Linked DNA regions of Arabidopsis thaliana. The protein of the gene in region 1 interacts with the protein of each later gene in a biochemical or structural test. Each region holds a gene or a part of one and is shown on either strand. Other genes may lie near its edges.

Evidence for each region.
Region 2: the proteins of NHX1 (region 1) and AT3G03000 form a complex in vitro, tested with the Arabidopsis thaliana proteins (one study listed by BioGRID).

Annotation. Positions count from the first base shown.
Region 1 is NC_003076.8:9,547,052-9,565,432, forward strand, and holds NHX1 (Na+/H+ exchanger 1), read left to right. Parts: upstream 1-6,248; 5' UTR 6,249-6,716; intron 6,717-7,059; 5' UTR 7,060-7,199; coding exon 7,200-7,364; intron 7,365-7,436; coding exon 7,437-7,555; intron 7,556-7,976; coding exon 7,977-8,074; intron 8,075-8,185; coding exon 8,186-8,245; intron 8,246-8,332; coding exon 8,333-8,379; intron 8,380-8,471; coding exon 8,472-8,666; intron 8,667-8,755; coding exon 8,756-8,802; intron 8,803-8,892; coding exon 8,893-8,959; intron 8,960-9,045; coding exon 9,046-9,146; intron 9,147-9,235; coding exon 9,236-9,476; intron 9,477-9,564; coding exon 9,565-9,627; intron 9,628-9,708; coding exon 9,709-9,792; intron 9,793-9,885; coding exon 9,886-10,215; 3' UTR 10,216-10,543; downstream 10,544-18,381. Other genes in the region: AGL39 (AGAMOUS-like 39), read left to right, coding at 1-502; AT5G27140 (NOP56-like pre RNA processing ribonucleoprotein), read left to right, coding at 1,491-1,568, 1,670-1,714, 1,768-1,860, 1,940-2,104, 2,185-2,385, 2,482-2,979, 3,051-3,323. UniProt on the Arabidopsis thaliana protein: Acts in low affinity electroneutral exchange of protons for cations such as Na(+) or K(+) across membranes. Can also exchange Li(+) and Cs(+) with a lower affinity.
Region 2 is NC_003074.8:667,083-682,525, reverse strand, and holds AT3G03000 (EF hand calcium-binding protein family), read right to left. Parts: upstream 5,287-15,443; 5' UTR 5,139-5,286; coding exon 4,641-5,138; 3' UTR 4,346-4,640; downstream 1-4,345. Other genes in the region: AT3G03030 (F-box/RNI-like superfamily protein), read right to left, coding at 1-274; AT3G03020 (uncharacterized protein), read right to left, coding at 1,246-1,449; AT3G03010 (Peptidyl-tRNA hydrolase II (PTH2) family protein), read left to right, coding at 2,389-2,592, 2,690-2,748, 2,837-2,896, 2,997-3,066, 3,207-3,276, 3,378-3,404, 3,495-3,544; HSFA1E (heat shock transcription factor A1E), read right to left, coding at 6,538-7,698, 8,667-8,912; MCC1 (MEIOTIC CONTROL OF CROSSOVERS1), read left to right, coding at 10,311-10,456, 10,537-10,681, 10,992-11,091, 11,192-11,420, 11,506-11,629; EXL6 (EXORDIUM like 6), read left to right, coding at 12,031-12,565, 12,846-13,309; AT3G02975 (uncharacterized protein), read right to left, coding at 13,000-13,301, 13,345-13,351; AT3G02960 (Heavy metal transport/detoxification superfamily protein), read left to right, coding at 13,900-13,908, 13,998-14,172, 14,501-14,676, 14,809-14,902, 14,995-15,281. UniProt on the Arabidopsis thaliana protein: Potential calcium sensor that modulates ion selectivity of NHX1.

The DNA.
Region 1 (18,381 bases):
GGAAGAAAAATCTCAACTTGTTTCTAGTTTCGACCAAAACCCTAATAGTACTTGTTCTCTCGACGTCGAGGATTGTGATGGATCTTCTTATTCGCAAATTGCTTCTACTTTTACTCCAAACTCTGTCAACGAGTATTGCAGCGATCAAACCTTTTCTTCTTTCCATGGCGATCAAAACCCTAACCTCTCGTCTCCGTCTTTTGATCAGGACTGTTACTCCTCTCTCTATCAGATCTGTGGAGAATCATCTTCACAAGTTGCTTCTTTTGATCAAAACCCTAGCTCCGAGATCCAAGGATTTGAAACAGAGGAAGAGATTAACCAAATCAATCTACTACTACAAGAAACACAAACAGAGGCCAATGTCAATTTGGATGATGAGATCTGCTTTTGGAATGATCTATCCAACGATGATGTGTTTGGTCTAAACAGCTACTTCGGTCTCGATAACACCAATGCAATGATCAACTTCGGAGATTCCGACTTTAGACGTCATGTCTGATATGATGTGGTTGTAATCTTCAGAACTTGTTCTGATTTTGTCTCATTGTAAACAGAGATTCTTGATCCAATTTAAGTTTTTGTAAACCTTTTTTCCTTTATTGTTTGATACTCTGATGTGAACCCTTTCGAAGTTGAAAGTAAATTGTTTGAATCAGTTTTGCAATTCCACTTACTAGTTTGTTGATGTTAAATTCAAGTTAGTGATTTGAATTTGGATTCTCAGAAAAGAAGAACACAGTTTTTGGAGCTTTTGCTTGTAATTTTACATGAGTTTTAGCCTTTAGCTGAACACTTTTTGATTCCTTAATGGTCATCTTGTTAGGTGATGTGTTTGAACTTTGAACAGAGTACTTGAGATTAATTTAAGATTATGTATGTAACGTAGATTAGATGAACATATTTATACCAACATTTTATTAAAAAAGTAACTATAATCATTTTTCGAATTAGTAATTAATTTTATAGTTTCTTTAAGGTAATCATATATTTTACAATTTGTATATTAAAATTAGCAGATCAAACTCTGTTTTTGATAGAGAATAAATAAACTTTGTTTTTGATAATCTTTTCCCTTAGAAGTAAGGTCGGTTATTTTGACATCTTTAAAAATTAATTGTATAATTCTTTTTAGAAATATACCATTTTAAGAAAATAAGAATAGTTTTTTTTTTAAAGGTTTTTTTTTAGTTTTTTGTGAAAATTATATTTTCACATGTTTTTTTTCCGTAACTTTTTAATAGAAAATCATATATTTATTTTCTTATATATATAGATCGTCGATTAAGAATCTCGAACCCTTATAGCAAATTCGTTGCTCCTCTTTTTTTCTTTCTCTAACGCAGCAGCTTTGCTTAAATCCTCTTAGGTATTTATTGAATCTTTCTCCGTTGTCAGTGGAACGTGGCTTCCAAGTATTAGTTTTTGACTAAGTATAGTTCTGACTTTGAGATGTTGAGTTGATTAAAGGGTTTCTCGTAATCTTAAAGATGCTCGTACTGTTTGAGACGTCAGGTGGTTTTGCACTCTTTAAAGTATTAGATGAAGGAAAGCTCTCTAATGTTGAGGTTATTTACCTTATTCATTCTCTTACTTTCATTGATCTTAACCTTGTCTATATGTGTCGTTTGTTTTTAATATTCTAAGTATGTCAAATTTGTTCTTGTAGGATTTGGGTACTGAGTTCTACTCTGCAGAGTCAGCTCGAAGGATGGTTAAGCTAAAAGCTTTTCATAAGTTTGACAACACATCTGAACTCCAAGCAAGGGTCTACACAAGTTTTTGAAAAATAACTGTGATGATGGTGAAATCTTAGCTGTGGCTGATCCAAAGCTTGGAGATATCATCACAGAGAAACTGGTGTGTATTTTGTTATGATCTTTTACATATTTCTGTATATATATGGCTTGTGTCTTACGGATTTGCTTCTCTCCTCTAGGACATAGAATGTGTTCACAACGATGCTGTTATGGAGCTGTTACGAGGTGTGAGAAGTCAGTTAACCGAACTTTTATCCGGATTGGATGATAATGATTTAGCTCCAGTGAGCTTGGAATTGTCTCACATCCTTGCTAGATATAAACTAAAAATCACCTCTGACAAGGTAGTCATTGAGTTCTCTGTGTTTTGTTTTACCCTTGCTTATGTTACTTTTCCCCTCTCATACTTAAAATGTTTTGTTAGGTGGAGACCATGATAATCCTATCTATCAGTCTGCTTGATGATCTTGACAAAGAGCTTAACACTTACACTACGAGCGTTTGTGAATTGTACGGTTTGCATTTTCCCGAGCTTGCTAATATTGTACAGGACAATATCTTATATGCCAAGGTGGTTAAACTAATGGGGAATCGGATTAATGCTGCAACGCTAGACTTCTCTGAGGTAAAGCCTTATTTACCATTCTCCTTGACTTTTTGTTTCCATTAAACTATAGTTTTGTCTTTATGAAACATCTTTCTGTGTCCAATGTCATCTCAGATATTGGCTGATGAAGTTGAAGCAGAACTAAAAGAGGCTTCTATGGTGTCTACGAGAACTGAAGTCAGTGACCTTGATTTGATGCACATCCAAGAACTCTGTGACCAAGTTCTTTCAATCGCTGAGGACAAAACTCTGCTTTGTGACGACTTGAAGAACAAAATGAACAAAATTGCACCAAATCTAACTGCCCTTGTCGGGGAGCTAGTCGGTGCTCGCTTAATATCTCATTGTGGTAGTTTATGGAACCTCTCAAAGCTACCATGGAGCACAATTCAGATTCTTGGAGCTGAAAAGACCCTATATAAAGCCCTTAAGACCAAACAAGCCACTCCAAAGTATGGTTTAATCTACCACGCACCTTTGGTTAGGCAAGCTGCACCAGAGAACAAGGGTAAAATCGCACGTTCACTAGCTGCAAAATCTGCTCTTGCTATCCGGTGTGATGCTTTTGGTAATGGCCAAGACAACACTATGGGAGTCGAAAGCCGCTTAAAGGTATTCTTCTCTCCCGCCCGATCCTATCTACATTTTTCTTCCTTCTTTGATGGTCTAATTTTTTTCGACAGCTTGAAGCGCGCTTGAGAAATCTTGAAGGAGGAGATTTAGGAGCATGCGAAGAAGAAGAAGAAGTTAATGACAAAGATACAAAGAAGGAGGCTGATGATGAGGAAGAACCCAAAACTGAGGAGTGTTCGAAGAAGAGGAAGAAAGAAGCAGAACTTGAAACCGTGGAAGATCCCGCAAAGAAGAGCAAACAAGAGGGTGTAACAGGATTATTACTCCTGATGCTTTTAATTTCTCTAATCTATTTCTTTTCTGTTAACCAGTTGCTATGGTAAGCCATTAGCTCAGATATACAAAATTATGCGTGAGTAACACGTCTAGTTTCTTGACGTTTTGTTAGGATCATGTTGATACTCTTTCAAAGTCATTCAATTCAAAAACGGTTTCCCTTGTCATTTGGTTCGGTAGACTTGACAAAAAAAATAATCAGTTAAAGATGTGGTTAAGACCAACAAATATGTTCACAAGAACGTAAACATCAAGGTTCTGTCGCTTTAGACTTGATTTACAAGTGGATTTAAACATGATTAATTCACAAGCTAAACATCCATAAGAGTTGGATAAAAAAAAAATCCAATTCCATAAATAAATGAAAGAGAAAAGTGGATCAAAAACAAAATCAAATTTGTAAAAAGGTTATGTGGCTTTGAATTCCATAACCTTTGAATCACTCAATCGAACCTATTGAAATTGCGATGCTACTAAGAGCCGGACCATAACACATGAACATGAAACATTACAGTGGCCCCCATTCTAAAGGGGCCTCAAAGAAATTTTATTTTAGTTATATATACATATATTGATTTTTGATAATGGGAGAAAATAGTTAGTTTTATACATATAAATCCTAAATAACTGTGTGGTCCAAAATATTTGAGAATATTATTGTACTTTTGTTTTTAACTCCAGAATTTTGTTTAAATTAGTTTCTATTTACTCTATAATTTTTAAGATAAGAGTACTTTGTTTTCGTAATTTAAATAGGGCCCCGGATTTCATTGATCCGGCTTTAGGCTCTAGAAAATGCCTTATATGTATGTTGAACAAAAATGCAGAAACCTTGAGATATCCATGATTGATGTAGAGAAAGCTCTGATGCAAAAAGTGTCACGCTCAATATTTACCTTTTTTGTGTGTTTTAATCTTATATCTTTACTCTATTAAGACCAGAACACTCTGTTTGCTTGAATAACAAACAATTTAACAATAACCAAATATTTTGTCATTTCGACATATGTAAGGAACGTGAGTTGGTTTATACTCTATAAGGAAAAGAGTTACCAATGAACAATAATTTCCTAATTAAAAATTAGTAAACGTTAAAAGTATTTTTTTGTCATTCCGACATGGCCTCGTTTTTTTCCTCGAAAATTTAGAAATAATCATATTATTTTTACTTACAAAATACATATATATATATATATATAGATATATATAACTATAGTTAGAACAACTATATTGTCGTGAATAGGTAAATTTGGGAATCGTGATGATATATAATTTGGATCCGTAGATTGTAGGTGATGCATTTTTGTACCTAATCTTTAATTCCAAAATAAGTGGATAGCTCTATATGAAATTTGGCCCTACTTTATTTGACATGACCTTTTAAATATTTGAAAAGCCATGAGACAATTTATTTAATTTTCATAACCGTGATAATAAAAACAATTTGTTTGTAAGAACAATTACATAACAACATTTATCTAAATTATGAGTCTCGTCGGCGGTATGTAAAATATGTTAATATTATCCTTTTTCTATGTAATAGAATAATAGATTATCTTTCTTGGTTGGCACTAAATTGCACGTTAAATACTTGAAAACTTTGTATGTTGAAATAGTAATCCAATTTTAACGAAACTTTTTATTTTGTAAAGATTTTGATGGGCTTTTTAAAACAATTTCTACGACGTGGACAGACTTTGGAGTTTGTATGATTAATTAGATTCAGATCCTCACGTAGATTGAATAAACAATAACTCAATAATTGATCCTTCTCAAATTTTAATAAAATAAAAACATTTTTTAATAATAAAATAACAACATTACAAAATACCAAAATATGTAGGGTAATAGTTTTTGCTAATATAGTTATTATATTATTACTAAAATATAAATTCACATGTTAATATTTGTTGTTGACAAAAACAAAAACAATGATATTACAAAAAAACAAATAGGGTGATTAAACGCTAGAAGATCCGTAACCATTTTGATGACAAAAAGATATGGTACTAAGATGAACACGTTTTTGAGAATATTCAAAACAAATTCATTTCCGAAAGATTATCAATTTTCAAGCATACAGTATGATCTGGTAAACTATAAATGGTAGAACCACGATAATTAACTAGTCGATTCTATATGTTATGACATAGACTTAGCTAGGAGCATATCCGGCAGACCGGCACTAATCTAATGATTTCATGAGTTGTTATTATCTAAACTAATTAACAATTAATAGAATGAAATATAGTTTTATATTTAAGTTTTTTTTTTTTTTTTTTTTTTTTTCGGAATATCAGGAGGTTCTGGGCCGAAACCCGTAATCCCTTCAGGCCTGAAACCACAACATGTAATATTAGTTTCGTCCCAAACATCACTCGAACTAACGACCTCTAAGTTTCGCCTAGGATCTTTACCAATTGAGGTAACAACGCTTGGTCAAGTTTAAATCATTGTTGCTTTCTGTGAGATTTTGATCCCTATAACCTAATTTATCTTATGAGAAATTAACCTTTTTTGATAAAGGATAAGGAAAATAGTAACCTTGTATAAAAAAATTCATTGCCATTTTCATATATATATATATATATATATATATATCCTAAAATGTATATCTCTAATAAAATTAGAAGAAATGATACCAAAAATAAAGGTGAAATCATGATAAAATTTTGTTTTTTTTTGTTTTGGTTCATTGAGTTTGCCATTAACGCTTTTTTTTTATAAATAATTTCGTCTACACAAATTCATCCATATAATATTTTCTTTTACTGCATCAGAGTTTCACTATGTATTTAGGTTTTTTATGAATTTTAAAAAAGTTCAGCATCAAGGTGAAGAAAATTCCAAAAAAATAAATAAAACGGTGACCCAAAAAAAACTTGTTGTCTTCAAAACCAAAAGTACTCGACAAATCAAATAGATAAATCATGAATCTTAGTACAGTCAGGTTTTATCGTCTACGATAAGTTCCACAATAAATCCAAACACTAAACTGTTCAGATCTCAGATAGTAACTTTAAATCAACGGCTATAAATTCGCCATTTGTACTTTCATTTACACAACAGAGAATAATACATACACTCTATCTCTCTCCTATTCGTAACTTATATTTCTCTCTCTACTGTGTTTAGAAATTGGAATCTTCTCTCTTCTCTATCTCCCTCTCTCTTAAAAAGGGACCGTACACGTCTCTCTCTATTTCCAGTAAAAAATCGAAATTTCGTATAATTTCCTCAGTCCCGTAATTTTCTCCTTTTTTTTCTTCCCCAATTCCTTCAATTTTCGAATTCGCCTCTCTGTTTCGTTCCTCGTAGACGAAGAAGAAGAAGAATCTCAGGTTTTAGCTTTCGAAGCTTCCAAAATTTTGAATTTTGATCTTCTGGGCTCTTTTGTAAATCAGACTGAAGATATTTAGATTACCCAGAAGTTGTTCAAGGTAAAGCAATTCAGATCAGATCCACCAATTTTTTTTTTTTTTTTCATTTGAAGTTTTTGTGTTTGTTGTTTGTTGTTGGGAGATATTTGAAATCTGGGTTATTAAAGTTCCGACCTAATTTCATATTGTGCTATTACCAAAAATAGGAAATTTTGAGAATTTGGTTTTATGTTGTCATCATTTAATAATATTAGCCTTTTGTGGGATTTGTGCTTTTTGTTGTTTGTATCAAAAGTCTCAGATTTGGATTCACTTTTTGTGTGTTTTTTATAGTCAAAGCTGATTCATGCTATACATTACACAGCTTCACTGTTTAGTCTCAGCTCTGTTTTCTTGAAAACAGGAATGGTTTCAGTGGACAGCACGGAAAGATAAAAGAGACTTTTTTTTCCAGATTTTGCTGATCCAAAATCTGAATAGTTGTTCATGTTCTTGGATCAAATCTGGAAAGAGGAAGTTTGTTGGATCTAGAAGAAGATAACAATGTTGGATTCTCTAGTGTCGAAACTGCCTTCGTTATCGACATCTGATCACGCTTCTGTGGTTGCGTTGAATCTCTTTGTTGCACTTCTTTGTGCTTGTATTGTTCTTGGTCATCTTTTGGAAGAGAATAGATGGATGAACGAATCCATCACCGCCTTGTTGATTGTAAGTTCACTCAATTGAAAAGAGTAATTACTGAGTTCCAACTTGAATGACATTTGAGCTATTTGGTTGCAGGGGCTAGGCACTGGTGTTACCATTTTGTTGATTAGTAAAGGAAAAAGCTCGCATCTTCTCGTCTTTAGTGAAGATCTTTTCTTCATATATCTTTTGCCACCCATTATATTCAATGCAGGGTCAGTCTTTTTTTTTACATCCATTTGAGCCTTTTCCTCTATGTTGGGATATATCTTTTAATGTAGGACTTAGTTTGGTAGGGTCTCATGCTATATGATACGTTTAGTTGCACGGGTTTTACCTACAAAAGTTACATAAAACAGATTGAAAGAAAAAACTTAGTTTTGAAAAGTATGCATTATGTGATTCTAGGTGATAAAGTTAGTACAACGCTTTAAAGATGTTGATTAGTAAGCTTAAGCTCTACTTCTATAAATACCTGTCATACATCAACTTTTTCTAGTACTTGTGATTGTTATAAAGAAAAGAGGGCATGATGTCTTTTTTTGAAGTAGTTAGATTTATACACGTGCAAGTAAGTGTGGTCCTGGATTTGTCTTTGTCATGGATCTTTCTCAGATTTGTTGTTGTCTATTTCAGGTTTCAAGTAAAAAAGAAGCAGTTTTTCCGCAATTTCGTGACTATTATGCTTTTTGGTGCTGTTGGGACTATTATTTCTTGCACAATCATATCTCTAGGTAGGTTACTTCGCTTTACGATTGGCTGAAACACCGCTGAATGCGGCTTTTTGGATTAGGTCGAGATAGTTTTGTATATCTCTACTGATTTTCTGGTGGTTCTTGAAACAGGTGTAACACAGTTCTTTAAGAAGTTGGACATTGGAACCTTTGACTTGGGTGATTATCTTGGTAAGGCCTGAACTAATGGCTTCTTTTTGGTTCCTATTGCTTTACTTAATCGGGAGACTTGATTTGTTTTTGGTGTTTGAATCTCAGCTATTGGTGCCATATTTGCTGCAACAGATTCAGTATGTACACTGCAGGTAATGTGTTTTCTCCAACATGACTTAAATTACTTACAAACCCTGAAACATAGTGGACCGAAAGTTTCTGTTCCTGTTGTGTTGTGATATAGGTTCTGAATCAAGACGAGACACCTTTGCTTTACAGTCTTGTATTCGGAGAGGGTGTTGTGAATGATGCAACGTCAGTTGTGGTCTTCAACGCGATTCAGAGCTTTGATCTCACTCACCTAAACCACGAAGCTGCTTTTCATCTTCTTGGAAACTTCTTGTATTTGTTTCTCCTAAGTACCTTGCTTGGTGCTGCAGTAAGTCCATTGTTTTCTTCCCTGCCATTCTTTCTTGTAGCTGCTATATGCACGCTCTGGTGTTCACATCTTTGTTATTCATCTTGCAGACCGGTCTGATAAGTGCGTATGTTATCAAGAAGCTATACTTTGGAAGGTACATATTTAACGTCATATATGTGACTTGTTTTCTTTAAGTTGTTTCCTGTTTGGTCTAACGTAGATGGCCTCACATTAATTGTCACAGGCACTCAACTGACCGAGAGGTTGCCCTTATGATGCTTATGGCGTATCTTTCTTATATGCTTGCTGAGGTTAGATTCTTTTAAATAACACGAACATATTCATTCAGTTGCATTCAAACACAAATTATATTGATGTTATATTAATTTGGTTGCAGCTTTTCGACTTGAGCGGTATCCTCACTGTGTTTTTCTGTGGTATTGTGATGTCCCATTACACATGGCACAATGTAACGGAGAGCTCAAGAATAACAACAAAGTATGCAAACTTTAGTTTCTCCGCCTTTTGCTGAGATTAACACTTTCTACCTCCCAATGATTATCTTATGATTTTTTTCGATGAAACAGGCATACCTTTGCAACTTTGTCATTTCTTGCGGAGACATTTATTTTCTTGTATGTTGGAATGGATGCCTTGGACATTGACAAGTGGAGATCCGTGAGTGACACACCGGGAACATCGATCGCAGTGAGCTCAATCCTAATGGGTCTGGTCATGGTTGGAAGAGCAGCGTTCGTCTTTCCGTTATCGTTTCTATCTAACTTAGCCAAGAAGAATCAAAGCGAGAAAATCAACTTTAACATGCAGGTATGTATCATTCTACTTGGTACTAATAGATTCAATAATTCTTCTGGATTTCAGCTATTTATATCTATCATTTTTTCCCATTCTTTAGGTTGTGATTTGGTGGTCTGGTCTCATGAGAGGTGCTGTATCTATGGCTCTTGCATACAACAAGGTATAAAAAGAATGTCTTTAAATACTCTCTATGAAGCTTCAAATGACACAAATCATCATTTAACACTTGTTTCTATTGTAGTTTACAAGGGCCGGGCACACAGATGTACGCGGGAATGCAATCATGATCACGAGTACGATAACTGTCTGTCTTTTTAGCACAGTGGTAAGAAATCTCTGGATGATCAAATGAGTTACATAATATTTCTTAATTGAATTGGACATTTGGTTAATAGATTCTCTTGAACCTTGTTTTCAGGTGTTTGGTATGCTGACCAAACCACTCATAAGCTACCTATTACCGCACCAGAACGCCACCACGAGCATGTTATCTGATGACAACACCCCAAAATCCATACATATCCCTTTGTTGGACCAAGACTCGTTCATTGAGCCTTCAGGGAACCACAATGTGCCTCGGCCTGACAGTATACGTGGCTTCTTGACACGGCCCACTCGAACCGTGCATTACTACTGGAGACAATTTGATGACTCCTTCATGCGACCCGTCTTTGGAGGTCGTGGCTTTGTACCCTTTGTTCCAGGTTCTCCAACTGAGAGAAACCCTCCTGATCTTAGTAAGGCTTGAGGGTAACGTGGAAGAAAAGCTTTGATTTTTTTTGGTAGAAAAGGGTGATTCAAATTATGCTTTTGTGTAAATTATCCATTTGTAATATTGTTTGTGAGGACAGAAATCTGTCCTAACGTTTTGAGAGCAGAAAGCAAAACATGGCAACTTTGAAGTGTTTGATTGATGTATGTAATTATATTCATATTTGTTTTGTTGTAACACAAACTACACATTTGTTTATGTTTTGAATTTGGTTTTTGCTTCGAACTTGAGGATCGGATTGGTACGGTTTGGTTCGATTTCGGACAAAAATATTAATAAAGAATTATTTCTTTATGTCAAAACAAAAATTTAGTGAACCTAATGGCTAATGATATCAAAATTTGGTAGGTCTTGAAACTTATAATCTAACTAGATTTTAACCCGCGGTATACCGCGGGAACAATTTATTTTTTAAAGTTAGTATATATAAAAGTTTACAAATTGTATCTATTTATAAAATAATTTTATTTTATAGTTTACAAATGTTATTAAGTAACATCCTGCCAAACCCGTCCTGTAAAAAAGAAAACCATTTATTTTATTAATGTTGATCTTATTTATGATATGTTTATGAATCATTGTCTAAATATTTTGTAATTTTGTAGTAATTAAATGCTATCAGATTATATCTCTTCGCTTTGATGATTATAATCGAATTGTTATAGTTATGGAGAAAAGCAATATCAAAAATGATAATTTTGTAGTAATTAAATGATATTAAATATTTTAGAAGTATTATTTTAGTAAATAATCGTGTAGTTAATGTGGAGAGATTTTGGGAAGATTGTTAAATGTCAAATATTTAATTCGAAGATTTTCTTTTTAATTATCAAAAACAAACATTAAAATTCAGTGGCAGCCATTGTAAATAAGTCTCAACTACAAGATTTATTTCAAAAAATGGCTGCAAAAATGTATATATAGATAAGAAACGATAGTCGGTTTTGATAGGTATAAGATTAGCAAATATATTAGTTAGCTTAAATTAGTTAAAGAATACAAATTGAAAAGGTATATTACATTATTCGAATATAGTATCAAAACTTATATAACACAGAGATTTGATAATTTTTTAATTGTTGAATACTTTTTTGTGCTAATTTTTATGTGATTAAGATTTAATTGATTTCGTATATAAAATATTAAATTAACTTATTTGTTTATAATTTGGTAACAGATAGATATTTGAATATTCAGTATATTTTGCTTCAGTTTAGGAAATCTTTGATGATCCGTCTTTAAATCCAATAAGCCCTATAATCTAGATATTAAGCTGCAGTATACCGCAGGTAGGCTTATATTTTAGTTAAACTAAAATCTTTTATCGTAAAGATGATTTTAAAATATATGATATTATTTTATTTTATTTTATATGTATAGTAACTGTGAGTTCATGTATATGTTTTGTTGATATTATCTATATTGTTTAGTGTTTAAGATTATACACTTGTAGTTTGATTATTGTTAATTTAAGAGTTTCACCTGTAGTATTCCATCTTGTATTAATATCGATCTAAACCCGTCAATTTTAGGATTTTCAAGCTTTTATTAAAAATTGAATCACATCTAATATGTTATTAATTATTGTTGTATATAAGATTATAAATTTTCAATATAATATGTATGGAATTGAATATAAATATTTCTAATTATGACCCGTTACTCAGTAGAAAGTTTTCTTAAATCTATTTTTCACCCGTTATAATATTTTTTCATGTATTGAACAGTTTATATTTGTTTTTAAAAATTCAAATTGTGGCATATGCGAAATAACTCTAATTATTTTTTTATAATGATGATATTATTTTCCCGCAAAAATAAAATCATATAAAGATGAGAAGTGAACTATAATAATTAATAAAAAATTAATATGATAATTTAGATATCAGATATAGTTTGTTGATTTTAATTTGTTATTTTTTTGGAAATTAATAATGTATTTCGTTTTTTTAATTAAATCAAATTAATTAAAATTTAGATATCAAATGTTATATGTTGATTTTGATTGGTTATTATTTTTGGAAAATAATAATTTATTTCGTTTTTTAAATTTAATTAATTAAATTTAATTAATTAATTTAGTATTTGACTTTTTTATCCTTAAAAAGATAAATTAATTTACTCTTTAAAATTTTATTTCTAATGGCATACCTATGTAATTACTTACAAAAATTAAGGTTACATTTAAAATGTACTTCCCAAATAATATAGTAGGATATATTTGTTGCAAGGGAGACTACCATATTAAATTGTGAAATTTATTTCATTGTTCTAAATTTTAAAGAATAAGTGAACCAATTTCTTGAGTGTTTTAGTTTTGTCAAAAGAAATATTAAGTGAACCTAATGCAATAAAAGTTTGGTAGGTCTTGAAATTTATTTTTAATAGAATAATTGTTAGTTGCCAAGGAGAAAGCCATATTAACTTTTATGTTTTTTTTTGGTGATTAGTCGACGAGAGAAAATGACGTGAATTGAAATTGGAATACCTCGACTTGGAAGTTATGAGAGTTATCAAATATATTGTCATCTTTTGTACAATGATGGTGTAATTATATGTTCTAGAGGAAAAAAAATGTTTGCTATTTCATCTTATTTCATTAATAATATATATGTTATAAGTTAAACCTCAACCATACAAGCTCTATTTTCATGTTATTTTTTTTTGTCATCATATGTAAAATTCGAATAACAAAACCTTCGATTTTTTTTCTAAAGTTCTTTTAAACAATTTTATATTCTCTTGAATGAGAGTTTGCAAAAACATAGCAAAATCTTTTCTAATCTGATATGAGAAAAACGTAAACCATAATAAAGAGGATTCATGAGAGATCATTATTAGTAGCGGCAAAATATGATGTCGCCAATATTGTAACATCAATAGCAACAATAGAGAAAATACATTTTTATTTCTTTCAAAATCTCATATTCTTGGTATCAAAATTTTCTTACTTTTTTTCTTTTCTTTGATTTATTATCCCCTAAATTTTCTCAACAAATCTTTTATTTATTCTTCTCTCTCTTTCGTGATCTCTATCTCTTTGTCTTTCTTCATCTTTTTCGTTCACCTCTCTAAACTATCTCAATGCTTCTTTGATTCCATTGTCGGTTTCCTTGTACTCGTCAATTTCATGTTTTTTTTTCTATCAATACATGTGAAGTTTGAATAACAAAATCTTCGAAGATATTTGTCAAATTCTTCTACATCATTTAATAATTGTCTTGAATGCAAAACATATCAAAATCTTTTCTAGTCTGATAAACAATAATAAAAGAGATTCATTAGAGATCATTATTATCATCTGCAAAATATGATGTCGCCAATATTGCAACATCAATAACCAAAATTATGATTGTTGTTCGCATGACGATATGATTCAATACAACGATGCAAAAATTGTTAGTGTCGTTGGACTTAGTCATTAGACTGAGTCTTAGTAGTGGGAATAAGATGCTTGATTGTAGGAGTAATTGAGTTGTTGTTTGTTTCATCGTGTCAAAGTCCTCCGAGAAAGTAGGAGGCAGTTGTATTTGAGTTTTGGCTATTTAACGCCTCACAAATAATGAGAAAAGCAGAGTTGCAGTCTCACCATTCAGTTCTATATTCTCTGTTATTAACAAAAATCTCATCTTTTGTATCAATTTTTTTTTAATATTTTATTTTCTATGTTATCTCCAACCCTTCGAATCAAACAATGTCAATCCCTCCGCCTCCGCCCCTTTTTGGAACTTAATGCATCATTTTTATCATATGATATAAGTTTGTTGATGTATACCTGAAAAGTAATATCTTTTAAAGATTTAGGAAAATTGCTAATTTCGCATGTTTGGTTTATCATATGAATTCTTTTGTTTCCGGTGTAATCCGGATTATATATATTCTCATCTTTGAGATCAATAAATTTCGATTCACAGTAGGATCCTTCTATCGGTTTCATCCGGTTCTCCTCTCGCTTTAGCGGAATTCGATCTTACTCCATTTTCGTTCTCACCGGCTTTTCTTCAAAGATTTCTCTGTTTTCTCCAACTGATCGAGGAGTAATATCTTCATCGCTTCCTTTGCTCTAGACGCAAGAGCAACTTGGATTCAGATCTACATCAAGATGGGTATAGACGGTGGTGGAGCTTCCCCGGATTTGGTTTTTGACAGAAATTTTTTGAAGCTATGATGATCTCTCAATCCGGTAGATTCGATGCTTTTTTGGGTTGGATTCGAGATCGGACAGAAGGCAGGCCGATACACATCGATCCAGGATTGATTAGCGGCGGCTAATTGAAGATTTGGCGATGTCCGGCGAGCTCTTGACGGCGGTGCTACAATCCTCGACACGTAGTTAGGCGGAGACACGTCCTATACACGTGTTGTTATTTTGTTAATCATAATTTGTGTTTAATTATGGTTTAAATGGGCCGTTTTTATTTTCGTTGTATCCACTAGACTAACCTTCTGTACTACCTTTTGGGCTTTACTTAATGAAAATTTGGTCGACAAAAAAAAAAAAAAAAAAAAGCATATTTAGTTGGGCTAACACGTGATCAGCGAATCAGCCCTACAATAGCCCAAATATGTACCCAGTCATTAGATTAATGATCTCTCAAAACGGTGTCGTTTCAAACTGGACCACCTTATAAATACGGAAGAATTTCTATTCTGCCATGATTCGAAAAAAAAAATTCTATTCTGCCACCCAAAAAAAAAGAATTTCTTTTTGATTTATTTTTAAATACCAAAACAGAGAGAGATTACCAAATAACCTTATGTTTTCAGATTATTTACATAACCCAACCGCAGATCCACGGGTTGAACCGGATCCAACCCATTCTAAATGGATTTTCCCCAAAATTAAAATTTTTTAACCTAAGTAAAAAAATTGATTTCTCACTTCCGTCGTCGACTCCGCTCCCTCCGCACCAAACGCGTTCCGTCTCCAGCGATTTCAAAATCCTAACATCGTCTTTTTCTTTTCTCCGGCGACTCCACACTCCACAACGAGCCCCTCTCTTTCTCATTTCCGAGTAATTCACCGCCGTTACCTGGATCCCGTTACCTAACCGAACGTCGCGACTCCACACAACCGTTTTAGTTCCGCCGTCAAAACCGAACGTCGCGACTCCACACATCCGTTACAGTTCCGTTGCAGTTCCGTCGTCGTTCCAAACCGCCGGCGTTCCAAATTGTAAGTGTAGATTGGAACGGTTTTTGATTTTTGATTTGGTTCGGTTTTTGATTTGAAACATTAGAATTGGTTTTCGTTGGGTTGATTTGAACGGTTTCCTTGATTGTTGAGTGTTTTTGCAAGGTAATCATGGGTCGTGTAAGGTTAGTCACTCCTAGTTCGAGTGAAAGTGAAGACAGGAGGGTCACGATCATCCGTGAAGCGGATATGAACCGTGAAGAAGTTGCAGCCGAGGAAAACAAATTTGAAGACGAAAACTGTGAACAAGAGCCTCCGGAAAACCTTAACGAACCGGAAGAAGAAAAGATTTCTGAGGTATATACAAATTTATGAAAATTTTGTGTGAATATTGATGTAGTGTTTAGGGACAACTAGAAAACAATGAGTACAAGTTAATAGTATAGGTCTGTGAAATTGGTGCATGGATATACGTGATTAATCATACATTGGGTTGCATTAGAAAATTGAATTCTGAGAAAAGTTGATAATGTTGTTCTGAGATAACTAGTACAAGTAGTACAGCGAAATATTAATTTTATGGTTGTGTATGAATTTTCAGGAAATTGATGATGATGAACCAATGCCATCTCACGGGATGGAAGAAAACCCTCAAGAAGAGGAAAAATAAAGGGAAGAAGAAGAAGAATCTGAGGTAAATGGTTATTTCTGTAAATTGTGTTTGAATATTGAAAGTATTGTGTAGGGACAACTAGAAAACAATGAGTACAACTTAATAGTATTGGTTTGTTTGATTGGTGCATGCATGGATTTATACGTGATCAATCATACATTGATTTGCATTAGAAAATTGGATTCTGAGAAAAGTTTATAATGTTGGTATGAGATAACGAAAAATATTAATTTTATGGTTGTGTATGAATTTTCAGGAAATTGATGATGATGAACCAATGTCATCTCATGGGATGGAAGAAAACCCTCAAGAAGAGGAAAAAGAAAGGGAAGAAGAAAACCCTGAGGTAACATTAATTTCTGAAGATTTTGTTTGAATATCCATTGAAAGTAGTGTATAGGGACAACTAGAAAACACTTAGGACAACTTAATAGTATAGTTTCAACTTATGTGATTGGTGCATGGATTTATACGTTAACGTGATCATACATTGGTTTGTTTGATTGGTGCATTAATTTAATTGTATGATTGGTGCATGAATTTAATACGTATAGTTTCAATTCTGAGAAAGTTGATAATGTTGTTATGAGATAACTAGTACAAGTAGTACAGCAGAATATTAATTGTATGTTTGTGTATGAAATTTCAGGAACTTGATGATGAAGAACAACCTATGCAGCCAGAGAGGATGTTCTTTAGTCCAAGCGAATACGTGAAGACGTGTAAGATAGGGACGAGATGCACTGTGCAGCAGATAGTGAAGTATTTGGAGGAGTTTAAAGAAGATTTGCCATGGTTCAAGGCGCATCCACAGTTTAGGCATGTATTCCACATGCCTGAGGAGAAAAACCACATGACCCAAGGCTTGTGGATGCTTTTGCTTCGCACAGCACAGACAGAGATGGATAGGGAGTGCTGGTTTGTGGTTAATGGAGTGCCTATTAGGTACTCCATTAAAGAGCATGCGTTGTTATGTGGTTTCGATTGTCATGATTACCCGGAGGAGTTGCAGCCGAGTATGAAGATCGTGGATGCAGATTTGAAGTTTGCCAAAAAGATCTTTAAGAAGGTATCTGGGATTAAGATCGTTGATGTTGAGAAAAAGTTGGATGAATTGAAGAAATGTGGAGAAAAGAAGAAGACGGATAGGAAGAAGTTGGCTATCTTGCTTTTTTTGTGCAAGGTGATCGCGGCCAAGTCAAAGGCTGATGGAAACATTGACAAATTCTTTCTGAAGATTGTTGATGATGTGCGTGCATGTGAGACATTTCCATGGGGTCGTTTCACATTTGATGGATGTATGGAAGGTATCAAGTCGGTAATGAAATCGATGAAAGGGAAAGCAAAATTGCAGACTTGTTTCTCCGGATTTATTCTTCCATTAGAGGTAACAATTTAGAGTAATATCCATTATAAGATGCATTAGTAGACTTAAAAAATAATACTAATGTGACTTTTACTTTGAATGTGTAGATTTTGCCTTTTGAGGCTATTCCACATTTGGGACAAAAGTTTAGAGACCCTGTAAGGTTCGAGAATGAGTGTCCGAGAATGTGTAAGGCCAAATTCTCTAGTAGTCTCATGAAAGGGTTCTCGTTGGAAGAGATAAACGAGGAGCTTGGAAGTGTAAAGGTACGAGTTGTCCCAGTTATCTCTAGAGTTGTCCCAGTTATCTATGAGCTAGAATATGATTATTTTTGATGTGTGAATTTGTATAGGTTATCTCTAGCGTTTTGGAACCGGATTACGAGGAGAAAGATTTGTTGAGGCGGATTGTAGATGGTGATCATGTTGATGATGGGATAGGGTTTGTTGATCCGGTTGTCGATAGCTGGAGAAACCGTTTGATCAAAGAGAGGAAGAGAATCTTCTGGAAGGATATGTTTGAAGCGGATGTCCGGGCCCGAAGCGGCGGCGAGCAAATGGAGGAAGAGAATGTTCAGAGACATGTTCCGGATGTTCCGGGCAGCAGTAGCTCTTGCTCTTTGAAGGAAGCTATTGATGAAGGCTTTAAGAGAGTGATGGCGATGTTGGCGAAACACAATGAAAGGCTTGTGACCATTGAAAGGAGACAAGCCGGTGAGAGTGTGCCTCCATTTGAGAAGAAGGTCCATTCCGATGTGAATAAGGAGAAGGAAGATGGTGGTAAGAATGAGCCCGAGGCTGTTGAGACCGATGGTGTTGAGACCGATGGTGTTGAGACCGGTGGTGTGGAGACCCATGATGTTGAGACCGATGGTGTTGAGCCTGAGGGTTTTGTGCCCGAGTTTGTTGAACTTGAGGGTTTTGTGCCCGAGTTTGTTGAGCCCGATGATGTTGAGACCGATGGTGTTGA
Region 2 (15,443 bases), on another chromosome or scaffold:
CACACCTGAGGGAGAACCTACGAATGGGACCATTTCCCTGCAAAGACAATACTCTTTCCACAAAATCCAAGAAGCTATCCAGAATTTCTTCTCTTTCCCACTTAGTCTCTTCCGGATGAAGATACTCAGAGTCATCCAAGTCGAGATTAGGGACAAGCGTGAACAGATTCCGCCACTTCTTAGACAGAACAGATGTCAAAGCAGACTCCTTTGTGGTAAGGAAGGACAGTATATGACAACGAACATCGTCTGGTAAACTGCTCACTAGATCCATCTTCTCGCTAAGCAAATCAAAACAGTTCCACTGGTACTACAGCGGTTGATTCAAACCTAACACTTATGACTTAACAACAACAACAACAACGCGAGTAGGAAATTGATTTTGAGGCTGTGACACCGAAAACACCAACAACATTGAAAATGCAAATTTTCGCACAACTCTTAACACTACAAATTAGGGCAACTCCTCAATGAGTCGAAGAAGAGAGGGACGGAGTGCGTAATTTAGGGGAATTTGGAGATATTTTGTCAATTAAAATATTGATATAATTTTAAGTCTTAACGATTAATCACTTAGATAAATTAATAACACCAAAACAGAGCAGCGAAATATACAGGTTACACCCTAAATATATTTCAATCCCACAAGGCTGCTAATTTTAGTTTACTTACATAACAACTGTTGATGCATATTCCCAAAGACTAAACACCAATCCAAATCCACTAAGAAAAACAAAACACATCTCACAAGTGAATGAGCTCATTGTTTTTAGACGATTTCTGCTTCTTCTGATCATTTCCAGAGGCAGATGAAGAATGACCCAAACTATTCTCACCAAATATTATCTCATCCAGATCATTCATCATCATCTCATCGCTGCTGCTTCCGCGAGAGTCTTTAGGTTTAGTAGCAACAAGAATCATATGGCTGGCTCTGTTGCAGCTAATTAGAAGAGACTGAAAATAGATATATGCTCATTGAGCTTATTAGAAGAGACTGAAAATGCAAAATAGCTCAATGAGCTTTATTGAAATGTAAAGAAGAGAGAAAGGTGAAAGCTTTAGGTTGTCTTCAAGAGCAAAATAGATTTGGATTTGATTTCATACAATAGAGAAGAGAGAAATAGCTAACAAGAGAGAAACTGATTCCAGGTCCAAACTAGAGAAAAATGAACTCAAAATAGATCAGATCAAATAGTAGTACCATCAAAGAAGAAGAATAAATAGAGTATACCTTGGAGAAGATTACTGCCTGCCATTTCTGATAAAGGACGATTCCTCTGTCTCTGTGGTATGTGGATATGTGATGAATGAATGACGCAAACAAGAATTATGGAGAGAGAGAAAGGAAGAAGAAGAAGAAGATTTTGTGTTTATAAAATGGTTTTGACATTCCCCGAAGATGTTAAGGACATATGAACTGCTCGGACCAAGATAACTCCAGATCATCTTCAGGGTCTCAGATCCATCTTCTCGCTAAGCAAATCAACAGTTCCACTGGTACTAGAGCGATTGATTCAAACCTAACACTTATGACTTAAGAACAACAACGCGAGTAGGAAACTGATTTTGAGACTGTGACACAGAGGTTTTAATTGAGAAGAAAAATAATCTACGAGGAGGTCAATGCCGTACGACAAGTGAGAAGACGCGTTAACTTTAAAGGAATATTTGGACTCTTTCTTTTTTTTTTATCTCCATGGCATGAAGAAACCACGAGTCTTGGATTTGTTGGTTTCAACTTTTTTTATACAAAAACAATTTCCTTTGCTTTATGAAAAAAAACAATAATAAGGAAAGTAAATATGATTTCGAAAATGCCAGAAAGTAATTGTTTTTAAAAATGAAAATGGGCCGTTCAACATCTCAAAGGCCCAAATTTTGCCGATATAAAAAAGATTGGGAACAACACTTTTAAACATATTAAGGAGAGACCTATTCGTGTGGCCAAACACCAGAATATCGCCAAAATCGTTGAAACTTGAACGAAGAAACAGACTTGTCACAGCTCAGCCGCCGGAAGACTTTAAGGTAACGAATCTTCCATTAACCGTCCCTCGTAGATTTATTTCTACAATTGATAATGCTTATTAGTTTGTTGTCTACTTAAATTCCCTATTGGTGAAACCCCAGAATCGTCAAGTAGCTTTTTTATCGATTCAATAGCTCCAACACAGCTTTTGTATGTTTAAAACTAGCTTATGTTTTTTACTTGATTCCGAGAGAAACAAGTACTAATGCACTAGTTTCTTAATTCACTTTTAGATTCCCAAAATTTGTTACTATGTTATTTTCTTATCAGAACACTGATTTTAGTTACCACATTGATTCAACATTGTTTGAGTTAATGATAGTTGTGAATTTTGTTTGCTAATTCTTGTAGGAGGTATGGATTTGGTGTGGTTATTAAGTGTTTTACTTGTTGGAGCTGCACTTGGATATTACATCAGCACTTTACGACAAACCCGCCGAATCTTTCTCTCCTCCAAATCTGTCGCCATAGATGCAGGATCCAGCGGGAATAAGAAAACCAAGTCCAAGGAACCCCTCGAGATAGAGAAACTCGCTGATTTTCGCAAAAATTTCAAAATGGTACCTAGCCTCACTCTGCCTCCTTGTCTTTGTATTGCACCAAGATACCAGTAGCTGATATAAATGCTTCTTGTTGTTGTTGTTGTTGTCTGTGTAGGTTTTGGTTGTGAGGAATGATCTTAAAATGGGTAAAGGGAAGATTGCAGCTCAATGCAGGTGATTATCAATCCTCTTTCAGTTTTCAATTGCATTTCTTGAATTCAATTAACAACTCCTTTTCTCTTGTTTTGCATATTATATGTAGTCATGCAACTTTAGGTTTATACAAGAAACTCCTTCAACGGGCGCCAAAAGCCTTGAACAGGTAGGTATGCGGTATGCCACACCATCTCATACTCTACTTCAATTCTATGTTTCTTTTTCAGGCTACGGATGGAATTAACAGTTACTTATTGCTCTTGCAGATGGGAATATTGTGCTCAGCCAAAAGTTGTTGTCAAAATTGAAAGTGAGGAAGAGATGCTAGTTTTGCAAGTGAGTTTACTGAACATGTGCTACGTAAATATACTTGCCCTTTGCAAGATTGCAGTTTCCTAGGTATTGAATAAGAGAAGAAGAAAAAGTCATAAGATCCTCCTATGTGAAGAGTGTAACAATCTTGTTGATACCGACAGGAAAGAGCAAAGACCCTGAAACTGCCAACCCATATCACCATTGATGCGGGAAAAACACAGATCGCTCCAAGTGAGTTTCTATAGTTACTGTTATTTGGAATCCTCCTGCTTAACCCTAGTCTGACATTAATAGAAAAACTTAATATGCCTACTTGTTCTCTTCTTTTCCAGATTCAAGGACAGTAATGGCTATTCTTGGTAAGTTATTATCATCTATGAGAAGAGATGAGTTATATCACAAATTGTAGTTACAAGTGCAATTGTTTAATAAGTCTATTACTTGTGCAGGACCTGTTGATAATGTTGATGAAGTAACAGGTGGACTAAAGCTTATGTAATAACTCTTGGATTCGACATTACCAACACTCTGGCAGAAAGGAGAGCATGCTAATTGGCTCCCAAGTTTTCGACATTTCTCGGTGACAAATCTGTTTTCCCTTCTTCTGAGTAGATAACTCCATTTTACATGGATTTGTACAATTGTCTTACTAGAAGATAATCATATGACAACATTTGCTGATTATCCACAACATTTTAAAGATGAAGTTTTGATGCTCTCCTTTGTTTTGTCTATTGTATCTATAAACTGAAGCGTTTAAGCTACGAATTGATTTTGACTGATTTTGTCCTAAGGAGAGTCTAATTCCTGCGCAACAGCTAATCAAAATATACAGCATAAGTGTTTCACTTCTTGCTATAGTTAGTGGTCGTTTGCTAAAATAGTATTGATGTCACTGTATATCGTGCTACCAATTACTATATATTTCCGGGAATACTGCTTGTAATATCCATTTCAAATGTTTGTTTATTCTGAGTTCTAGCATTTAGCATAGTCAATGAATGCGTATACACTCAAAGATTGTTAGTTGTTAGCAACATGTGGGCTAAATCTATGTAACTCGTGCAGGACTGGTTGAAGAAGACATGTGGGCTAAATCTATGTAATAACTCTTGGATTCACAAATCATTTGACATATCTCGGTGACAAATTTGTTTTCCCTTCTCCTTAACCATTATTGGGGATCGTTTTCGAATTTACATGAATTTGTGCAATTGTCTTACTAGAAGATCATAATCATACGATATTTGCTGATTATCCCCCATACATATAAAGATAAAGAGTCAGTTTTGATGCTTTCTTTTGTTTTGCATATTGAGAGACCTTTATCTCCATAAACTAAAGTGGCTAAAGCGACGGGTGGAGAAGTGACTCACACGCATAGCAAAGTTTTCTTGCCCTAAAACCAACAATGATAGCTTTCTCTTCAAGCTATCAAAATTTCATCAAAGAATAATATGAAACAATAAATAACACACATTTTCCATGGAATCGCACCTACACACATATACTTCCAAATGTCTTTGATTTGAGGATGAAGCCAAAAAAACAAAACACAAGTATTTCAAACTATGTATATATATACCTTTCTTTCTTCAACCCCAAGCATTATCAAACGCAGCTGAAGTAATCGCTTGAACAAACTCTTGGAAATCAATACAACCATCGCCGTCTCGATCAGCTTCTTTGATCATTCCCGTTAACTCCTCCGCCGTCAACGCGTGACCTAGCTTCGCCATCGAATGGGCTAACTCCGCCGCCGTTATGTAACCGTTTCCATCGCGGTCAAACATTCTAAAGATGGCTTTAAGCTGATCATCCGTGTAAGGACACTTGACCAGATCTGGCTCGACGAGGGCGACGAACTCGGAGAACTCGACCAGTCCGTTGTTATTCCGATCTGCTTTCTGGATCAATGTGTCGAGTTGGTCTTGACTCGGCTTTAGACCGAGAGATCTTAGAAGTGAGCCTAACTCGAGCTCCGTCAAACTTCCATCCTTGTTCTGGTCAAATGATCGGAATATCTCCCGGAGCTCCGCTAGTTGTTCGTCGCCTAGTTTCGCCGGCGCCGGTTTGCCTCCGTCGCAGCTCATCTCGAATCTGATTTTGAATACTGTCAAGCTTCGATTTCGATGAACAACATTTTTCTTTTTAGAGTTGATTTGTTTCTTCTTGACAAGTCAACGATGACAGGTAATGGATTACAAATTTCAAACGAGTAAAGATTTTGATTTTCTTATTAATGAGCAAGAGAATAAAAATTTTATTTTATTTAAATCAAATAAATGATTGTGGATGGAATACGAAATTTTTTAAATTAAATTATTAATTGAACCAATTATTGGAACGGTCAAAGGTTGTTCGGTGGAGGGAAAACAGTCGTGCTAAGCGTTAATTCACCGGAACTGGTTTGTAGAAATGGATGCCAAAAGATTTCTTGACAATAGAAAAATGTTATAGCTTTGATTCGTATTTTAAAGAAGATAATATTTTCGACATTTGTTAGCTATATATGAATCGAGTGTTCGACATACGTTATATATTGCATGCATGAATGTTCAAATTTTCTTTCAGAGTAACTATTTTATCCTTAATATATGGTCTTTATCAATTCTTTTAACAAATTACATGTTTATTAATGTTCATATCCTCTTTTAAAGCAATATATCCATGAGATATCTGTGAAATTTATCATATGTAAAATATTTATATAGTTTTCAGAAATAGATATATATCATATAAGCTATATAAATTACAACTAATGGTAATATCATATGTAATGTTGTATGTAATGTTAAAAGCAAGTTTAAGATTGATACAAACGACAAATGGATCTGGTTCGGTTGCAGTTTCAGAGCTTAACATATGCATGTACATACACTTTGATTCCGTGTAATCAATGACTTGATCCTTTTAAACCACTTTGTTACTATATCCACACGACACACGTTCTTCCTTTTTACTCTCTCTTTAGATGATTTCCTTTAGACGAAATTGGAACATTAGTTTTACTCAAGAAACTAAAAGTGAAGGACTGATAAAAAAACACTAAAGCAGGTAAGATTTGGCCACAGGTTAACCAAAATGCCAATTTTTGCACTTAATGTAACAAAAATAAACAAGGATCTCTAAAGACATACACAAGAACAGAAGAATATCTCTCACTTTGAAGCATCTCCTTTTCATTCTGTCAGTAACAAACAAAGATATTGCAATGCAAAAATCTTTTAAGGCAATATTTCTCTTATTTTATTATACATTGACAAGAATTAGAGTTACAACAGTTTGATACATACATACATAGTACCTCCTTTGGTCATATTCTTTTTGTTGTTGCGGCTCCACAAAATCTTAACCCATCTGCGATAACAAGACAAAGACGAGGGGTTTGGTTTTGCACAAAATTTAAATTTTGGAAAGTGTGTGGTTTATAACATATCAATATAGATAGACTGATTACCTCGTGAGGAAAGATTGTGGCCTGTGGCAATCTCATTTTCTGAGAGCATCTGATGTGAGAAGTCCCATCTGTTCAGTAAGATGGTTCATTTGTTGATTCTTGCTCCACACATTACTCAGGGTTGATTGTAACTCTAGTTGCTCCAATATCAGTTCATTTTCCACTGATCCTGAGATTAACTCATCTGTCTCACCAATCACTGGGCTCTCACCAATGAACTGTTCCCAAAAAGAATCTTGGACTTCAGGAAGCAACTCATTTAAGGTATCAGCTTCTAGTTCGAGTGCGCCATCCAAAACAGCCATTATTGGATCCAAACACTCTCCATTATCTGTCTCGCATCCAACAAGATCCGAACTTGAGCTCCCAGAAGCTGCTGCTCCTTGCGTTGGAGGTAAGAGATCACCTTGAGAAAAAGGCAAATTGGTCTCCATGACTTGATTTGTTTCACAAGGCTCGTGGTACTTCATTGCAGGATAGAAGCCTGCAGGAATGGATGAAACATCTGCCAATGTAACTTCAGGTGATCCATTTGAGGAGCTCCCATTGTCTGAAATGTTAGAATTTGGAACATCGCCCAAAAGAAAGCTACCATTATTGCTTGAGAGAGATTCATGGCTAGGTGCATTACTCATCTGCTGTATCTGTTGAAGCATAGTGTTTGTTGCATCGTTCATCGATGACTGATATCTCACAATCTGGCGGCTAAGACCATTAACCCCATGACTGCCAGAATTCATCTGGTCCTCAACAGGTAGCCTCCTCTTTTTGTTGCTTTCAGAAATGTGTTGGTTTGCTTCATTACTCTGCTGAGAAAATTGGTTTAAGAAACCTGGACTTTGGACAGCCTTTGCTAGAAAGGACATCATCTGTTGCTGCCTCTGCTCCATCACATGAACTTTCTGCCCCACATTCTGCAGATGATGTTCGGTAACTTGTTGTTGCTGCCTCAACCTTACAAGTTCCTGCATAAGGACGTTCTTATCGCGCTGAAGTCTTTCCACTTCCTCTTCGAGTCCAAATTTGCCCACTTCAACGCACGCACCCACAGATGAGTGCTGAACTTGAGGTTGTTGTGGAGGCTGCACTTGTGCAGGTTTTCGCCGGACAATACTCTTTAGTATTTGCTTTTGGCCTCTTAAAAAGCCCTCGTTTGCAAACTCCCAGCGGTCTGGATCAACTTTTCTAAAACCCTGAAAAAAAGAAGCATGGAGAATGGAACAGTCATCAACCGCAAGAAGTTACTTGGATTCCGTTGCAATAGGAAGCCAACATAGAAGATTTGTATAAACATAAAGACCATTAAATACGTTAATAACAACTATTCTAGATATGGTATGATACGTTCACTGGGTCTAGCTGCAGCACCAAACTACCATGGTCCAAGGAAACTAATACAGTTGTTAGTGTATCGGCATGTACCTGGACGGACAAATACAAACGAATGGAAAGCTAACATGGGACAACTGATAGAAATTTTGTTTTGTGACTTAAGAGGCCAGAAATGGAAGTGCTGAATCAACCAATCGTCAGACACATATGAGCACATGTCCAAATAAGCCTGCAAAGTTCGTGGAACCTTTTGGTAAGTAAATAAGAACAGGGGAGGAACAAGCTACGCAAGAGTATACACTTGTTAGTTTTGCTTGACCTAAGAAAATTCATTCCAGCCTCACAGACACGGATGCAAGCTCAGATACTTAGAAAAACAAAAACATATATGCCTGCAGTTCACAGGGTATACATGTACAAAAAACAACTGAAGAACAATACAAATATGTGAAATTATCTTGCACGAGTTTGTCAGAACCCAAAAAGATCCAATCTTAACAGTTAGTGCAACTAAAATCAACATTAACACAACCTACTAGACGTGCATAGTTCAACCACCAGCGTCAACAACTATATAGGAACATCAATCAGTAGCATCATACTATACACTAAATAGGAGTCGACTTCTCAAAGCACCTTCTTGCAACCTTAAATCATTCGTGAGTTTTATCAATAACTAATGCTTAATTCAACCACAAAAAAAACAAGAGAGTAAAATAAAAATGAAGCACATAAAGTAAGATTCCCTAAAATCGAACTACGAAATTGAAGAAAATCGAATCAATGAAGAGAAAAACAAATAAAAAAGAATCGATCGAAGTTCACTCACATAAGTATTGAGCTGTCTGACGAAGCTGGAGAAATTGTTGTGCTTGAAATACTTTGGTAGAAACTGTTTGGCGAACTCAGGCACGTTCCAAACCACGAAGCTGTTGTTTCCGCTGCTCCAAGACACCACGTCGTCCGTCAATGGATCGTCAACCATATCGTACGTTTTGCTCAGAAAAGGCGGAATGGAGCTCATCACCGCCGTCGAAGATTTCGCCGTCGCTACAGATTCGCAAACCGTTCCCATAAATCAAAATCGCAATTGATTCCGGTGTACCGTCTTCTTCAACAATTCCGAGATTCACTACTCCGGTCTTCGCAAACCTTACAGAGATTTATATTCGAAGATCATCTCTTAGCGACGAAGAGAAGAAGAAAGAAGCTCTCTCTCTCTCTGTCTACACTTATATTAAACTCTGGAGATAGCTTTTACCTCTGCTCTTTTATTTATACACTCTGATTTTTTTAATTCCAGAAAGCGGTGGAGTTTCGCAGAGTGATATAACGTGTCGTAATCTCTACCGTTGATCTGATTACCTCTGCAACGTCCGATTATTAAATTAAAAAATTAGTTTTGTTGTTAAGATAAGAAATACCACGTGGGCTGGACTAACGTGCTTGGCCTTTTTAAAAAAACATTAATTAACGTACGTACCTGGTCTTTTTCTGATTAACGTATCTGGTCCTAAGCTCTTTTTTTCATACGTGGCACTGGACTCGCGTTACTTTTCTCAATTTTTTCCATTTGCGTTTCACGTTTTTTTTTGGATAATTTTCTGCTACTCAAAGTTTTGTTGTTACGAAAACGTTGAGTCTCTCTCTCTCTGCTTGCCGCCGAGACGGCCAATAATTTTTTTTTTAAGACAATATTTATAAATCTGAAATAAACATCGATCCAGATTTGTGGATTATAGAAATCTTATCAAATTTTATAAGATTATTTCTTTCTATGATATCTAACGGCTCATCATGTAAGACTAATCTAAATTTGTAACGAAGAAAAGTGGAAAACACATAACAAGTGTATTGGCCCGCCTAATCGAGTTAATAGGGCAAGGAAATTCTCCTTTACTGCCTAACTCTTCTCCAGTTTGATTTTTATTTTTTGTTGTGGAGGGGAATATTTTAAGGTTCTCTTACCATAGTACAGACTTATAACGAATAATAATAAAAAGCAGATTATGAATCGAAAGTACGAATTTTTTCAAATCCATTTTTTTCAGATAGAAAAAACAGTACGAATTTTTATTGTTAAAAATGGTTATATTATTGAAAATGGAACAATTTTTCATTTAAGAGAATCGAATATTCCATTCATAAATAGTACATTAGTACTCTCCTTCTAAAAGAGGCACGTGATTGGTTGTCGCAAAGCACACGAGCCAAGATGCTTCACTTGGAACGAGAAAAAGCCCCAAGAGACAGAGGAGAGGGCAAAGCAAGCAAGCACCTTTTTCTTTCCCATGCTCGAAACTCGGTTCTTGATTGATTCCTTCGCCGAAGATTAACCAATCAAATCCAAACAAACCCACTCAGATCCAGATTCGTTAAATCTATCCGGATCCATTTACTTCAACGGGTCGGATCCAGTGATCTGGCACTTCACAATGGGAAGTGGCTTTTCTGGTTCTTCGGATACCAAACAATGTCGCGATTTCCTCGAAGATTCATAGATGATTCATCAATGGAAGATGCAGGAATCTCTCTTTGCCCAAGTATTCACTATAGACCTATAAACCCTAATGATCTAGATCGTTTGGAGCAAATCCATCGCGATATCTTCCCCATCAAGTATGCATCCATCTACTTGGATTTTCCTATGTTGGTGTCTTGTGAAAAGATTTCTAAAGTATTGATTTTTGTTTTGTCAGGTATGAGTCTGAGTTTTTCCAGAGTGTTGTGAACGGAGTTGATATCGTCTCATGGGCTGCTGTTGATCGGAGCCGGCCTGATGATCACTCTGATGAACTTATTGGTTTTGTTACTGCCAAATTTGTGCTTGCCAAAGATAGCGAGGTTAGTTTTCATTCTATGAATTCGTCTTTTTGTAATTCGAACAATAATGATCTTTCAGGTCCTGTAATCACCTTGAATGTTGAACTAGTTCATAATGCTTATGGTTTTTGGTTCGTCTGTGATCATGTACACTAAATAAAAGTTATTTCACTTGTCAAAAATCTTTAGAACAGCGGCTTGTAATAATGTCTGAATTATGATTGAATAATCTGTTTTGGGAGCTCTGGTAATGCAATTGAGTCTAGTGTTGTTTTTATCTTCTTATTATCTATCTTCATCAGCTGGCAGATGGTTTCTGTGTCTTGCACAGATAGATGATCTTATACATTACGATTCCTCGAAAGGAGAGGAGACTTTGATATACATCTTGACACTCGGAGTTGTAGAAACATACAGAAACCGTGGAATCGGTACATGACTCTTATAATACTAATAAGTATCTGAAACATGTTCTATATATTGCTTGGTTTTATAATTTCTGATGTTTCTGCAACTTTTTTTAACTCTCAGCAATGTCACTTATTAGTGAGGTAATTAAATATGCTTCCGGTTTATCTGTGTGTCGCGGAGTTTACCTTCATGTGATTGCACACAACAATGCTGCGATCTGTTTGTACAAAAGATTGATGTTCAGATGCGTGCGGAGATTACATGGATTTTATCTAATCAATCGACATCATTTTGATGCGTTCTTGTTTGTCTACTTCATCAACGGTTCTCGAACTCCTTGCTCACCCTTGTAAGGAGATTTACTCACAGACAAAACAAGTCTTTGATTCTCTTGTACTCTATAATGGTTTACAACAATTTACTGTAATTTGCAGAGAGGTGGCGATGTTTGTTGTGAATTATATGAAGAGTGGTATCAAGTCAGTGGCATCTAAGCTGGCTAACAAGGATGAGAAAGGTTTGAAATGGCTGTTTTGCAAAGACACGGATTGTGTCTAACCCTCGCAAACCAAACCGAAGCTAGGGTCATCATCAGCGTACGAATTCATTTAACTTAAAACTATATTTCCCATTCATTTGATTTCTCATTGTGAACTCTGTAATGAAAAGGTAAATAGTCACCGTTAATGTACTGTTTTTTGGGTTTTATACGCTGATCATTACGTGTTTATAAGGTGTAAGGAAGTTCTTATGAGTTTTTCACCACCCTTCTTAAAATAGTTAGCTTGGTTGAAAATAGCTCTTTTGCTTCATTGGCAATTATCCAAAAACAAAATCACCAGCTTAGGATGTCAAAAAATAGGTTAAACGATAATTTTATTTACTTCCCTCAAAAAAGCCTGAGAAAATCCCCATCAAAGGCCAAAAGAACAGAAAAAAGTTTTTTTCACGCGGTGGCAATGGCAATGGCGTCTGCTTCTTCCTCCTCCTCCTCCATATCCGTCATCATTTTCCTCCTCTTGGCGCCTCTCTGCCTTTCACGTGAGCCACCTTCACAAATCCCAAACGGAACCCTAGATCTCTCTTTACTATGGTACGGCCAATTCACGCCTACTCAAAAGGAGAGGGTTCACGATTTCATAGAATCGCTTAACTTCGACGCCAAGGAAGGTCTTGACCCGAAGGTATCGGCGTGGTGGAAAGTGGTGGAGAGTTACCAAGAGAGGTTTGAGGTGAAGGATATTTACCGACAGAAGAAGAGTAACAGAACCGTAGCTCCGAGGATTAAGGTGAAGGTTGTCCGGAGTTATGTGGATGAGAAGATGAAGTATGGAAAGGAATTGACAATGGGGAACGGTGAGAAACTTGTTGAGACGGCTATCGGAAATATGTCGAAAGTGGTTCCCGTGGTATTACTTTCGGCGCAAGTTAGGGCTCATGGCGTAGGGTTTTGTGACGGAACTTGCCAACATAACGCCCTAGCCAAAATTAAAGGTTTGATTTTCTCTTCGTTTTTTTTTTCCGTCTACATCTCTCAGATTTAAACCTGGATTAATATGGCACCGTGAGAGATCGACACTAGTACAATAAATATATTTTAAGTATGTCTTGATTTTCTCCTCGTTAAATTGCATAACATTAATCTATTTTACCCTTGAGAAAAAGATTATTGGTTCTACATAATTTTGTAGCTTTTTTAGTTTGTTCTAAAAGATTGTAGTATTAGACAACAAACAAAAGAAAAATTTGACGTCATTACGTAAATCCCACGCAGGTCAAAAAGAACCACGACGGTACATAATGGTAAGCAACCCGGAGGTGGAATGTCCCGGAGAGTGCGCTTGGCCTTTCCACACGGCCGATAAGGGTCCACGTGGCATGACCTATCAACCGGCAAGTGGAGAAGTCGGAGCTGACGCACTGGTTATTCAGCTAGCCACCGGTTTAGCCGATTTGGCCACCAATCCAGATCTAACCAAGTCCTTATTCAAATCTGAGACGACACCGTACAACGATGACGTAAAGAAAAACCATGAATCTTCGTCAATGTATATTGTGGACCCTGCAACCAAGTGCACTCGGGTTTTTGGATCCGGAGCTTTTCCAGGTTTCACTGGTAGAATTCGGGTTGACCCGATTACTGGTGGAGCCTTTAATTCACACGGAATCAACCACTTGAAATTCTTGATTCCTTCTATTTGGGACCCTAAGACCAAATCTTGCTGGACTCCTATGTAAACCGTTATTATTACGACATGTTACACAGTTTTTACCCTTCATGAACTTTTAAGGTTGTTTTGTTATTGGAAATATTCAATATACTTGGAAATACTTCATGAACTTCTAGTTCCAAGTCTTCATGAACTAGACTTTGAACGATCCTCGTGTAAATTAAATTCTGTGAGAAAGAAAATCCATGATTTAGCAGATAATACTACAGTATTTGACAACAACAACAACAAAATGTTGATAAGTAAGAAAATAAAGCTCGAAGATTTGTAACTATTCATGATTTTAGAAAATCGGAATAATGAATAGTGTACTTATTTGGACACTGAATAAGAAGTTACACAAGTCCCGATTGAAATTTAATTTACTAATGATCGTTACAAAATTATTTGTCTCTTTGTCATCAATCCTGTTAGTGAATATTAGAATTATTATTCATTGTAAACAAATAGGATCATCCAGATTGAGAAGTAAATAATTTTATGTATGTTACAAATGAAATAATTAATTGATCGTAAAACCTCTCTGACCTTATATATATCGAGTCTCACTATTCAACTTTTTCATTGCACTTGTCGTACAAAGGAGTAAACATTGATATGGGAAAGGTATGTGCATTCCTGTCTTTGGTAATTCCAGTAATTTGTTAAGTAAATTATGTGAACTTATATTTTGTGTTTTGGATTTGGTTCTAAAGAACAAGCAAAATGGAGAATCAGACAACAAGTCTGAAAAGAAGAACCAGAAAAATGGAGATTCATCAGTCGATAAGTCTGATAAGAAAAATCAATGTAAAGAAATTGTTCTGAAGGTTTACATGCACTGTGAAGGATGTGCATCACAAGTTTCTCATTGCTTGAGGGGCTATGATGGTAATACTCTATTAAAAGAAACATTATTAGATTACTTTCCCTCTTTAATGGAATCATATATATATGGTCTCGATCATAAGAATCAATGTCAAATATTTAATCATTTATCATTGAGTGAAATTGTACTATAATTTAACTTAAGCATTATCTAGTCTGGTTTCAGTTTTATTTTTCTTTCCTGTAATCTAGAGAAGTTGTCTATTAATTCCCACAATGACATAACGAATAGTAATCTCTAGTTCTTAAAGCATCAATTAAAAAATAGGATTACCGTTTTTTTCTTCTTACTCATGACTCATAAGTAGCTATTATCTTATTTGTCTTATAGGGGTTGAGCATATTAAGACAGAGATAGGAGACAATAAAGTTGTTGTGTCTGGAAAATTTGATGATCCGTTGAAGATATTACGAAGAGTGCAAAAGAAATTTAGTAGAAATGCTGAGATGATTTCCCCAAAACATAACCCTAAACAAGATCAGAAGGAGCCACAGCAAAAGAAAGAAGTAAGTTATTTCCAATTATTTCGTGTTAGAACTTAGATATATACTCTCATTTATATCATACCTTGTCTAATTAATCTGAGAATAACAACTAACATATCTAATCATTTCTAAATATTTTTTGCATGATTTTAGAGTGCTCCCGAGATCAAAACTGCAATTTTAAGAATGAACATGCACTGTGAAGGATGTGTTCATGAAATCAAAAGAGGCATTGAAAAAATAAAAGGTAATCTTTGTATATACATATAGAAATAATACGATATCGAAAGTTAAAAAAAACAACTTAGAATATGTTTGTTTGTTTTGACAAATTAAAAGGCATTCAATCGGTGGAACCAGACCGGTCAAAGTCAACGGTAGTGGTACGAGGAGTCATGGATCCTCCAAAACTTGTGGAGAAAATCAAGAAAAAACTTGGGAAACATGCAGAGCTTCTAAGTCAAATTACAGAGAAAGGCAAAGACAATAATAAGAAGAACAATAATAAGAAGGAAGAAAGTGATGGAAACAAAATCTTTAGTTACCCTCCTCAGTATTCATCTCAACATGCTTATCCCTCTCAGATTTTTAGCGACGAAAATGTACATTCTTGTTCAATCATGTGATTTTTTGACCCGTAAAATTAGAGTCTTTTTAAGTTATCTTTTATGGTTTTGATTTCCTTGCTACACATTTCTATATCTCAATAGATTTTAATTTAATTTAATTTTTGAGTGACACTTTATGAAAGTAAGATTTGGTGTCATGTGTATACTCGATTACTAGAT